Mytilus edulis: one gene and its partners. The protein of the gene in region 2 purifies or fractionates together with the protein of the main gene of each other region. This does not show direct contact. Links are inferred from orthologs where the notes say so. Each region holds a gene or a part of one and is shown on either strand. Other genes may lie near its edges.

Region 1 (3,760 bases), on a different chromosome or scaffold from region 2:
TACTTTAGTAAGATTTGCGTGACCTCATTTTACGGGGCAAGTGAGCCACATATTATTATACACACGATTCCAAACAGCACTATATTGATATACAATGTATCTTGAAGAAGAAATCAAGGACAACAGTCTAGATTGATAAAAGCATATACACTAATCTTAATCTCAAACACATTTCCATAGGACACATGTAGGAAAAAAAGATGCACAAGTTTGTATTTTACTTCAATTACTTCAGCAGTGGTTGCAGACATGGCAGTCAAAATGTCTGTCGAATGTGTAAAGGAAATATTTGTTTTTGTGTTAGTTCCTCCTTTTAAGGAGCACTAAATTCAAGTTTATCCATCTCGGTGGTAAACTTATCATTCATCATGATATTTTTTAAATAGGTCAACATTTCTTACGGCGTTCTTTGGACTTTTAGATTAAGGTGGTACCCAACACCTTGACTAAAATTAATTTGGCTCGTTTAATTTTCATAAAATTTTGACAAAGTACTTACTTTGACCCTTTGACAAAAAAAGACCTTCCAACTTTTGAAAACCTCCATGGGATTTTTTTTTATGTGTATCGCTTCATCTTATGAAAAACATAAAAATTTCAAAACATTTGAACCAACCATTTAATCAGAAAAATTACACTGGTTATATAGCAGTTTGACAGACAATACTTTTGATCATTGAGAAGCTTAATATTCCCTTATCAACACAATGTACATGATGTAATTAAAACGTTTAGCTGATTTTCAAAAAGTTATCTCCCTGTAGTGTTAGGTACCACCTTAAGTTAACCATGTTAACATATGTTATTTTGACCAAAAATAGGATCACAAGAGTCTAAAAAAAGTCAAATTGTCATATTGTGGGGTCATTTGGGCAAGATAAAAGGCATCACGCATATGAACAGAATCAGGAGATATTTTTCTTTCTATGTATTAACAAAAGAAGGCAATATGCACTTACCTATATATATATATGTTTTTGTTTTTTTTATTTTGCAGGCGAGATTGTCGTTCTTATAATATTTTCAGAATGATTTTGTCATGGTCATCAACATTCACAGAATTCACATGACTTGTATAAACAATTTAATAGGGTTTTTATTTATAGAAACATTTATTGATAAATATAAATAAAATAAAATATGATTTCAGTGGGCCAAAATAGGAAATAATTCGTAATTGTGTCCAGTTGTACATGTACATGTAATTGCGTCCAGTCGGCTAGGGAAACCGATTGATTGGTGCAGTGAGGGATTCAGGGGAGGGTTCCTGGGGTTGGAACACCCATTTTTTTGGACGATCAATGTTTTGGTATGGGGACAAATAGTTCGAACCCCCCTTCTAATTTATAAAAAGGCTGGATCCGCCACTGCTGTGTTTGCTTTAGGCCACAGCATAGAAAAAGGTAATATATATATATATATTAAATGCTACTAATATCCAAAGGCACTCGTCTCAGAATATTTGTTTCTATATACCTTTATATGCACTTCTCTCAGATTTCTTTTCCCTATCATATATTGGGGAAAAAATTCTAAGAAGAGTGCCTGTGTAATGTCGTAATAAACAGGTCAGGAATAACCACCAATTGGTGGATTATACGGTACCTCAATTGACATATAATACACCAGTTGACATATAATGGTATACATGGTATAGACCAATTGACGTATAATTTATTTTTTTTAAGCAAATTATTCAACAAAAATACATGAAATAGAGCATTGTTTTCTTAAAACCATATTATGGTATGAAAACATGTCAAACATTCCTAATTTAGTATAGTGACATAACATATTGCATTTAATCAATAATTGTCAGACTCACAGCCACTGGTTATTCAAAAACCCTCCACTTTTTAATATTTATCAGGTCAGGAATAACCAGTTGCTGAGAGTCGGTGACCGCAGGGGTTTGTTAAAATCGGGGATCGTATGGATACAAAAATACTGAACTCCGAGGAAAATTCAAAAAGGAAAATCAAAAATCAAAAGGCAAAATCAAAAGTCCAACACATCCATGACATCAAACGAATGGATAACAAAGTTCTGTCATATTCCTGACTTGGTACAGGCATTTTCTAATGTAGAAAATGGTGGATTGAACCTGGTTTTATAGCTAGCTGAACCTCTCACTTGTATGACAGTCGTAAACCCGGCAAATGGTAAAAAAACCCTGTGCTGTGACTTATTGTGTAAGACCACCTCCCCCCTTTTCTTCATTAGGCCGCTCAGCAGTAGATTTTTAATTAAGAAATACGTGAACACATAAGTGATCAGCAATCAAAATAAATACCTTTTGTGACCGAGCTTATCGTTGTCCTTTGGTCTGCAACTGTATTTTCAATATAATTTTGAACACAACTTTCCAATTTCATGGGCGCAGCCATCTTTTTCAAGCTAAAGTTGTCTCCCTTTAAATTCCCGCCAATTTTCTAGCTCTTCCAACATTTTTTTCTATCAATAAAATATCAAAAACTCAATGAGCCGTCGGATAAATACAGATTCTTTTTTTAATATTTTGAAGACAAAAGTGAAGTTTACGATTATTTATTGGAAAATGAAGATACGTCAGTTGGTAAACACAGGCGCTTGGGTCTATGATACAGATTTTTTTTTAATTTTTTTTTTTTATTAAAATATTCAATTTTCTATATTTATAATACATATCTATCACTTCTGTGCATGTCTCACCTAGTTTCGAGCGATTTAAACGACCCAGAGAAAATACCAAATTTTACTATCCATAATTCTTAGTATGGATAGTAAAATTTGGTATTTTCTCTGGGTCGTTTAAATCGCTCGAAACTAGGTGAGACATGCACAGAAGTGATAGATATGTATTATAAATATAGAAAATTGAATATTTTAATAAAAAAAAAAAATTAAAAAAAAATCTGTATCATAGACCCAAGCGCCTGTGTTGGTAAACTATATATTGTAATAGCATGTGCTCAATTTTGGCTTTTTTTCTCTATCCTTTCCTATAACTAAGTCATTTGATTTTTATTTTTTTTAATAATCTTAAATTGTACAAGAATTTGCCAATGTTTGTCTGGTATATGAGCAATAAGGACATCTTGAAGTAACTTGCTAAACTGATTTTTTTGTGTAAAGCAAAATTAGTATAAAGCAAAGATATTGCAGAGTTCTTTATAGATGGTTAACTTGAACCTTCTGACCACCAAACTGGTATAAGTACGACGTCATTGCGGTTCTCACACTGTTTTTGACTTAATCCGTTGGTTGTGTTCTGATTGATACATATATCTGGGAGAACGAGATTTATTTGAGTGTAACTTGTTGTTAGCTTTGAAAAAACTTTCAGTAACTACAAATACTTCTATTCTATTTCGGGTGCTCTGTGTTAAATTGCCTTAATGTTAGTTGCTTTTTTGTGTCTCGACTTAAGACTAATATACTGGTATAATTTTTTAATCATGAAAATAGTGATGAATAGAGATATAGTTCGACAGCAAATATGATATATAAGCTTTATAACTGAGCATCTAAATCATAGTCCGAGATTACTCTGACGTCCAACGGCTGTTATGCCAGACAAGCTGTACTCTGACGTCCAACGGCTGTTTTGCCAGACAAAAGCTGTCTGGCAAAACAGCCGTTGGACGTCAGAGTAATCTCGGACTACTAAATCAGGCCTAAAAAATAAGTAAAGGAGCAAAAATTGTGACTCATCTCGCAATTACATGAACATGATGAAGTCATTGTCATAAATGGCGATTTTAACAAATTGGTTTAGTGT
Region 2 (3,760 bases):
CAACATCTTCTGAAGATTTACTTAAATTTCCCCACCGTAATATGTTATTGGGCGATATAAAATGAGACTGTTTGATGTGTAAATAGCAGTCTGCACCAAAAACTTTTGAGGGTACTAGTCCACAGGACAGGACTAGTAATTATTTTAATTTACTAGTCCTGAAAAATTTCCATTAGTCCGACACCATTGAGGGTCGCAAAGCGACCCGATCCAGCTAGGGGGGTTTGGGGGCATGCCCCCCCCAAAGAAATTTTGGAATCTAAGATGCAAAATCCTGCATTTTGAGCACACCTGAAGGGGTTTAAGCTGGTTGAAAATTATTTTTTTTCGCTAATTTTAAGGATTTTACATTTGCAAAAAATTATTAAACAAGGAAAACTGCCTACACTATTTATTTTTAGTCATAAGTTAATAACAAAAACAATGTCAGAGTTTCCAAGTAATTTATAGTTTTTTTTATTCCTCATAGTCTTTTAATAATTGCTTCAGTTTTAATTTAGACACCCCATTGGTTTTGTTATTGTCTTTGCAGTACGTGCAAAACATTAAGAATTCAATTCAATTCAAAGTTTTATTGCCATATAAACTTTACAGTTTGTGACATATAACAACAACAAAAACAAATAAAACAATAACTAAGTTACTCAATATATATATACAAATTAAGGTAAATATTAAAGGGTCCCCTGTCCTCAGTTCCATTGACTTTTTTATAAAGGAAACTAGTTTATTCATTTGTGTTGGTGTAGATGGATTAAGTTAAAGTATATATATAAATATGTCATTGTCAGTGAGATTAGCAAATGAATTATTTTCTCTGTTAATGCAATTAAAATATGTTAATCTAATATTTGAATTGTGAGAATAATTTAAATTATTTATAAATGTTTTTCATCATCTAGTACTTTGAATTTTTTGCAAAGTGAGGAATTTGAAAATGCCTTCCTTTTTCAATTAATAATGAATGGTCACTGATTATAAGTTTTGTAAAATTTTCTAAATTTAAAGTTTGAGTTAGAGAGGTAAGGTTTGATCAGTAGATTTGGATCAAGTCCTTTATACAAATTTAATTTACTTTTATCATCAATATATCTCAACTTATCCATCAACAGGTTGTTGTAGTATGAGTTTATTTATTAAGGATGACGGTCATTCTTCCAACTACAGGAGATCCGAAACTCTCTGGTCACCTCAGATTTTTTTTTGTTCAGAAACGTCATGATTTGATGATTGATCTCTTTCGTTTTATAGCCTTTCCTGGCTTTGCCCATCGGTACATTGAAGAATATTTACGTTCTCCGGTCTTTCTAATTACCAAAAAATCGAAGTGTAACAATACGATGTTGTGAAGATAACTCATAATGACATAAATCTATTTTAATAACTTTATTGGTGATGTGAAGTAAACTAAAACATTTTTATAACATTAAAGATATATAATTAATCGGGGGAAAACTTGTTAGTCTTTTCGTTTTATAAACAATTGCCGTCATTATTAGAAAATTTAATGTGTCCGTGTTGGTCCACTTTCTACTGGTTATAAGACAGATCGAGTTACCGGAACTACTGCGACAGGTTTTCGTTTCTGTTTCACTTCCTCGGGAAATGTACAATTATCGATCTCGATAGTTTAGACTTCGCAACACATTGATTTGACGATCTTTTCTGCATTACTTGTCAATTTGAACTTCAAATATGTTCAAATTTCAAGAAACATAAAAAGGACGTTATATTTCTTACTAGTCCGGTCGGGCTAGTGATATATAAAATTTACTAGTTCGAGCTGAAAATTACTAGTCTGGGGCATCAGGCTAGTGGTTAACGTCGCAGACTGAAATAGTGATGAAGACTTTTTTTTAATTTTGGAGGCAATTTGAATGGTGCAATGTTTATTTGATACAATAAACATATTTAAACTTTTAATATTTAGCTGAATGTTGTCTTCAAATGACCTTTAAATATCTGCTCCCAATAACTTTCTGGTGTTAAACAACAAGAAGGGGGGATAGGACCTTTATCGGGACTCCCCGATCAGCTGTTTTTAAGCTCGGGATTTCGGGATTGATACTTGTGGGATCTGGGAATTCTTTTTTCAAATTTCGGGACCTCAGGGTCGTGTTTTTAAGCCGGGGATTTCGGGATCAGGACCCCTCCTATCCCCTCTAAACAATCACTTTTTAGTAGGAGTGATTTTACTTATGGTGGACAAATTTAAAAAGTGAAAAATATCTATTCCCAGATTTGCAATTTGCTGATTTGATATGGATTTGCCCATTGTTGAAGTCCACATAGTTACCCTTTGTTGTACACATTATCATTCTTTAGATTTCAATAAACTTGTCTCCTTTTGATGAGTTATCATATGTAATTTATTATAAATATTCCTATAAAAAATGCAGTTTTTCAGATCTTTTGTTTATTATTTTCAGATGTGAAATTGGCACGATTAAAAGGGCTAGGGTATGAACAATCGGGATCTCTGTCTATTGGTACAGATATTTGTTTACCCTCCTTCGCCATTGTCTCTGTCTGATTTATAATATTTATCTGATTTATATTTCCCACTGTTCTGTAGAACCATTTTTAGGTTGTGGCGGGAGATTAATTTCACGTTTAAAAAAACGAATTTACATATAACATATTTACTGTGACCATAGACACAATCAGTTTTTATTTTTTCTAATCTTAATAAAAACAAATTAGAATATTCAGCAATATAAGTATAGTCTTAGTAATCATTTGCTATTTAACACAAATTTCTTTTTGCCTAAAAGTTTGTAAAATCAATAATCCGTATTAAAACCAGAGAAACTCGAACAGACGAAAAATTGAAAAATTATGTCACTGGGAAAAATATCAAAAGTTTCAAGGTTTTTATCCAAATCCCAGTAGTGTTTTTATTTAATTTAACATTTAATGTCACATAAATATTATTTTATCTAATAATTGGTGAAGTTTTTATTTTCTTTGTCAAGATTTCTACCCATGACCATATATTCTGAGTCTGGTGTAGCCTGATTCAGTGATAGTTTGTAGTTGTTATAGACAACTTAAGTTTGTAGTTGTTATAGACAACTTAAGTTTGTAGTTGTTATAGACAACTTAAGTTTGTAGTTCTTATATAAACAACTCACAAATCTTCTCCTGTTATTTCCTTATGTCTCAATGCTTTTGCTGGGAGAACTGATTGGGTGATGACGTTTATGCCGATTGACCTTTGGTCAACCTATATACAAGAGGGGGTAAGAGAGGTCCTGATCCGGAAATCCCGAGCTTAAAAACACCAGATCCCAAAATCCCGGGCTTAAAATCACGAAATCCGGAGGTCCTGAAATTGGAAAAAAAGAATTCCTGGATACCGAAAGGGTCAATCCCGAAATCCCAAGCTTAAAAATACCCAATTCCGGAGTCCCAATCCCGAACCTATCCCCCCTCATATACAAGAGGGTCTTGATGCCTTTTACCACCAGGCGTCAAACGATCATTTTCAGCTACTGATCATGCTGATAGTGTCAAATTGGTTAAAATTTAAACCCTATCGTAATGTCATTTTGCAAGAATTTTTACTGTTGTACTGTGGATTCATTATTATTCGTTGGATACCAATTTTTCGTGGATTTCGTGGGTACCAGGAAACCACGAATTTAAATATTCAACGAATTGCAAATTTTCTAAAGGAATATATGCATACTTTGTCAAAACCACGAATTTAAATACCCACGATTATGCAAGTTTTCCTCAAACCACGAAAATTGGTACC
Region 3 (3,760 bases), on a different chromosome or scaffold from region 2:
TTTGCATTAAAGTCTATGGAAAATCTAGAGGATTCTTATCCGCATCACCTCTCAATAATGTTTACATAACACAAATGCTAATCATTGATTGGTCAGTTACATGTTGTGATGTCACTGCAGATCTGAGAATTCCACGGACATATTAAAACAGACTATTTTGACCGTTATGTTAATTAATCTTAATTACAAAAGGAACAGTTAGATATGTCACCTGACTTTGAATGTTACCTTCACACAAAAATGGACAGATTCATGCTGTGATGTTCACTTAGCAGATCGTCTGTATATTCAAGAAGGTACAGGTGCTATTTCATTACCATATCTGAGGAACTGATCTTAGGTCATAAAAATAAAAGTCAATCAACACCTAGGCCATATGGTATCATAAAGTTTTACCTTAAACTATTAATCTCACCAGGCGACAGTTAGAGACAATTTATATACCCTTAATAATCGTAATATTTTATTATGGGGCCGGATCGACTTGGGGCCGGATCGACGTGGGCCGGATCGACTTGGGCCGGATCGACTTTGGGCCGGATTGACTTGGGGCCGGATCGGTTTGGGGCCGGAACGACTGGATACCATTAAAACTGGGTTAGCGGTAGGTATGAGATCAAGATATGTAAGATTCCTGTGCTTTTATCTTTCAGCCATGGTGTTGACTGTTGTTTGTTTATTTCTTATCCCCCCCATTTCTACATGCAAACATACACAATCCTGGAATTTCCAAGGTATTGATGCCCTTATCAACAATTTCCAGTTCATTGTTTTTGGTATCCTTACACTCCTCTATAAACTTCTTTGCTTTTGCTGCCATGATTGTCGACACCCAAAATATGTCCTATTTAGGAAAAGCAAAAATAAGGAAGTGCCTAGCAGCAGCTTCCGTTTCAATACGACGCCAAAATAGTCCTGTGATAAATATCTGATTCTAAATCCTAAAAGTATAATGTTATCAAAACTATCAAAAAGAAGGTGATTGATTAAAAAAAGTTACTTAAATTCATTACAAATATGTAACTTTTCCATCTTTGCGTATTAATATATAAAACTACTTTCAAGATGTCAGCGCCCATGTAGATACAACTTTTCATGTAAATAATATTGAAAAGGATAGAATTACTTGACTGATATGAGTATTAGACTGGTATTTTTCGCAACAACCCCTCAATAACATAATGAAAAATGTTTATCTGTTTAATTACACCAAATATATGTTATTGAAACTCTCTGTTCAGCTGAAGGGACACCTTTTTTTACTAGTAATAGTAGTAATCCATGAACATGTTTATTATCTATGTCTAATTTTGTAAATAAGTAGAGACTACCGTGGGAATTATACTTGTACTTTTACACATTAGCACAGTCTTTATGTAATGCCATGGTATCTACATGTATGTGTCATTGTCATTCCATTATTAAATCGGTCATTTGTAAAGATGTCTTATTATTCACATTCGCGCCTATTCACGTTGGCACCCTACATGTTCACGCCCAAATTTTATTTAAACTATCATATACTATGAAATACAAATCGTACATTGTATCTTCATATCTTTTTTTTTTTTTAAATAATGATCGAGTATTGGTTTTGTGTTCAATAATTTGTAAACGAGTTTTGAAAAGTGTATTGCTATAAATATTAATCCATCATATTGTCATACTTGTCCAAACACAAATGAGATCAGAGGAGACAAGCTGTTAAAAACAATTATATTTCATGTTTTTTATTTAAAATCTTGAAAGTTTTGTCATACCAAGCTAAATATATACATTTGTATGCAGTTATTTACATCAAAGCAAAGACTTAAAACAACTATCATGATTTTTATACACTAAAAAATAACACCAAATTAGCTGTGTATAAATACCAATTAGCAGTAATCATACATAATTAACATTTAGTAATTAATCATCAAATTAATAAAAAAAAAATATATTATAATTCCCTCAAATTTTATTCAAGAAACTAAAATTATTTGGTATATACATATAAAAAAATATCTAATAATTCAACTGAAATTCTAATACAAATTGGGTGCGAACGGACTTCGGGTGCGAACATGTGAGGTGCGACCGTGTAGGGTTGCGAAAATATATTGGGCGCGAATGGACCTGATACCTTCACTTTATATACGCAACACATACTTCATAGAACAATCACAAGATTGGGGGTGCATGCTGTGCAGTAGTTTTGTTGTCTAAAATTTGTGCACATTTTTATACGACGCGTCATATTATGCTATCATGTTGTCGTTGTCTGGTCGTCGTCTGAAGAGGCATTTAGTTTCCGGACAATAACTTTAGTTTTAATGAATAGATCTCTTTAAATTTTTATCAGAAGGTTTAATACCACTAAAGGAAGGTTGGGATTAATTGTGGGGTTATGGCCCAAACGGTGTAGGAATTAGGGGCCACAAAGGGGCCAAAAACAGCACTTTTCTAATACTTTGTATAAATTACTTATTTCTTGACCAATTTAAAAGGGGTTTTATTCTTAAATTCTTGAATCTAACCGTGAATTAAGTTTTTTGAATTTGATCCACGTTTTTAAATTGGTCCACATGAGGTCCCAAGGGTCCAGAATTAAACTTGATTATGGGCCCGGTTTTCAAGTTGGTTCAAATTGGGCTCCAAAATCAAACTTTGTTTAAACTTTGTTTGATTTTAACGAAAATTGAATTTATGGAGTTCTTTGATATGCTAAATCTAACCATGTATTTTGATTTTTGGGCCCTGTTATCAAATTGGTCCACAATGAGGTCAAAAGGGTCCAAAATTTAACTTTGTTTGATTTCATCAAAAATTGAATTCTTGGGATTATTTAATATGCAGAATCAATCCATGGCCATGTATTTAGATTTTGGATATTAGACCATAAAAGGTAAAAAAATTTTTTTACATTTAATAGACCACACTCATTCTGTGTCAGAAACCTATGATGTGTCAACTATTTAATCACAATCCAAATTCAGAGCTGTATCAAGCTTGAATGTTGTGTCCAGACTTGCCCCAACTGTACAGGGTTTGACCTCTGCGGTCGTATAAAGCTGCACCCTGCGAAGCATCTGGTTAGGATTACCTTTATCAATTTAATCATGCCTGAATAATCTGGATAAGGTGATAAGGTTTAGAATAATTTTGACGGGAAGAGACTCGTGAGGGTAAACATGGAATATAAAAAATGTCAAATACCACAGCATAGAGGGGAATTTGAGGCATATTCGCTGGCAGTGGTGACAAACATGCAAATATTCATCTATAGTAAAAAAAAAAATCATTTTTTGAATCTTTGTACCTTAAACTACATGTACAGTATGTTGAATTTTATTTCGGTTCTAGTCATATACTTTTCCTGTTTATTACAGAATGGCTCAACTTAAAGAAGTGTGTAGTTTTGATGGTCACAGTGACAGAGCATGGTGTGTGGCATGGAATCCTTCTGGCACATTACTGGCATCTAGTGGTGGGGATAAAGTTATAAGGATCTGGGGCAAAGAGGGAGACAACTGGGTCTGCAAATCTATTTTATCTGAAGGACATCAGAGAACAATACGTGCAGTTGGATGGTCCCCTTGTGGGAGTTATTTGGCTAGTGCAAGTTTTGATGCTACAGTTTGTATATGGAGCAGAAAAGAAGGAGAGTTTGAATGTATTGCAACATTGGAGGGCCATGAAAATGAAGTAAAGGCTGTATCCTGGTCATGTACTGGTAGTCTCCTTGCAACCTGCAGTAGAGACAAAAGTGTTTGGATTT

What was found.
Region 1: the proteins of DNA polymerase epsilon catalytic subunit A-like (region 2) and MMS19 nucleotide excision repair protein homolog purify together in Homo sapiens (affinity purification with western blotting; 3 studies listed by BioGRID and IntAct, with this or other methods). This does not show direct contact. The link is inferred for Mytilus edulis from reciprocal best matches to the Homo sapiens genes POLE and MMS19.
Region 3: the proteins of DNA polymerase epsilon catalytic subunit A-like (region 2) and probable cytosolic iron-sulfur protein assembly protein CIAO1 homolog purify together in Homo sapiens (affinity purification with western blotting; 3 studies listed by BioGRID, with this or other methods). This does not show direct contact. The link is inferred for Mytilus edulis from reciprocal best matches to the Homo sapiens genes POLE and CIAO1.

The regions. Positions count from the first base shown.
Region 1 is NC_092347.1:91,257,697-91,261,456, reverse strand, and holds the start of MMS19 nucleotide excision repair protein homolog, read right to left. Parts: upstream 2,427-3,760; 5' UTR 2,388-2,426; coding exon 2,294-2,387; intron 1-2,293. UniProt on the Homo sapiens protein: Key component of the cytosolic iron-sulfur protein assembly (CIA) complex, a multiprotein complex that mediates the incorporation of iron-sulfur cluster into apoproteins specifically involved in DNA metabolism and genomic integrity.
Region 2 is NC_092348.1:84,503,525-84,507,284, reverse strand, and holds the start of DNA polymerase epsilon catalytic subunit A-like, read right to left. Parts: upstream 2,602-3,760; 5' UTR 2,582-2,601; coding exon 2,508-2,581; intron 1-2,507. Other genes in the region: large ribosomal subunit protein mL40-like, read left to right, coding at 2,839-2,870. UniProt on the Homo sapiens protein: Catalytic component of the DNA polymerase epsilon complex. Participates in chromosomal DNA replication.
Region 3 is NC_092345.1:69,389,611-69,393,370, forward strand, and holds the start of probable cytosolic iron-sulfur protein assembly protein CIAO1 homolog, read left to right. Parts: upstream 1-1,043; 5' UTR 1,044-1,097; exon of another isoform or gene 1,098-1,150; intron 1,151-3,371; 5' UTR 3,372-3,372; coding exon 3,373-3,760. Other genes in the region: ras suppressor protein 1-like, read right to left, coding at 715-820. UniProt on the Homo sapiens protein: Key component of the cytosolic iron-sulfur protein assembly (CIA) complex, a multiprotein complex that mediates the incorporation of iron-sulfur cluster into extramitochondrial Fe/S proteins.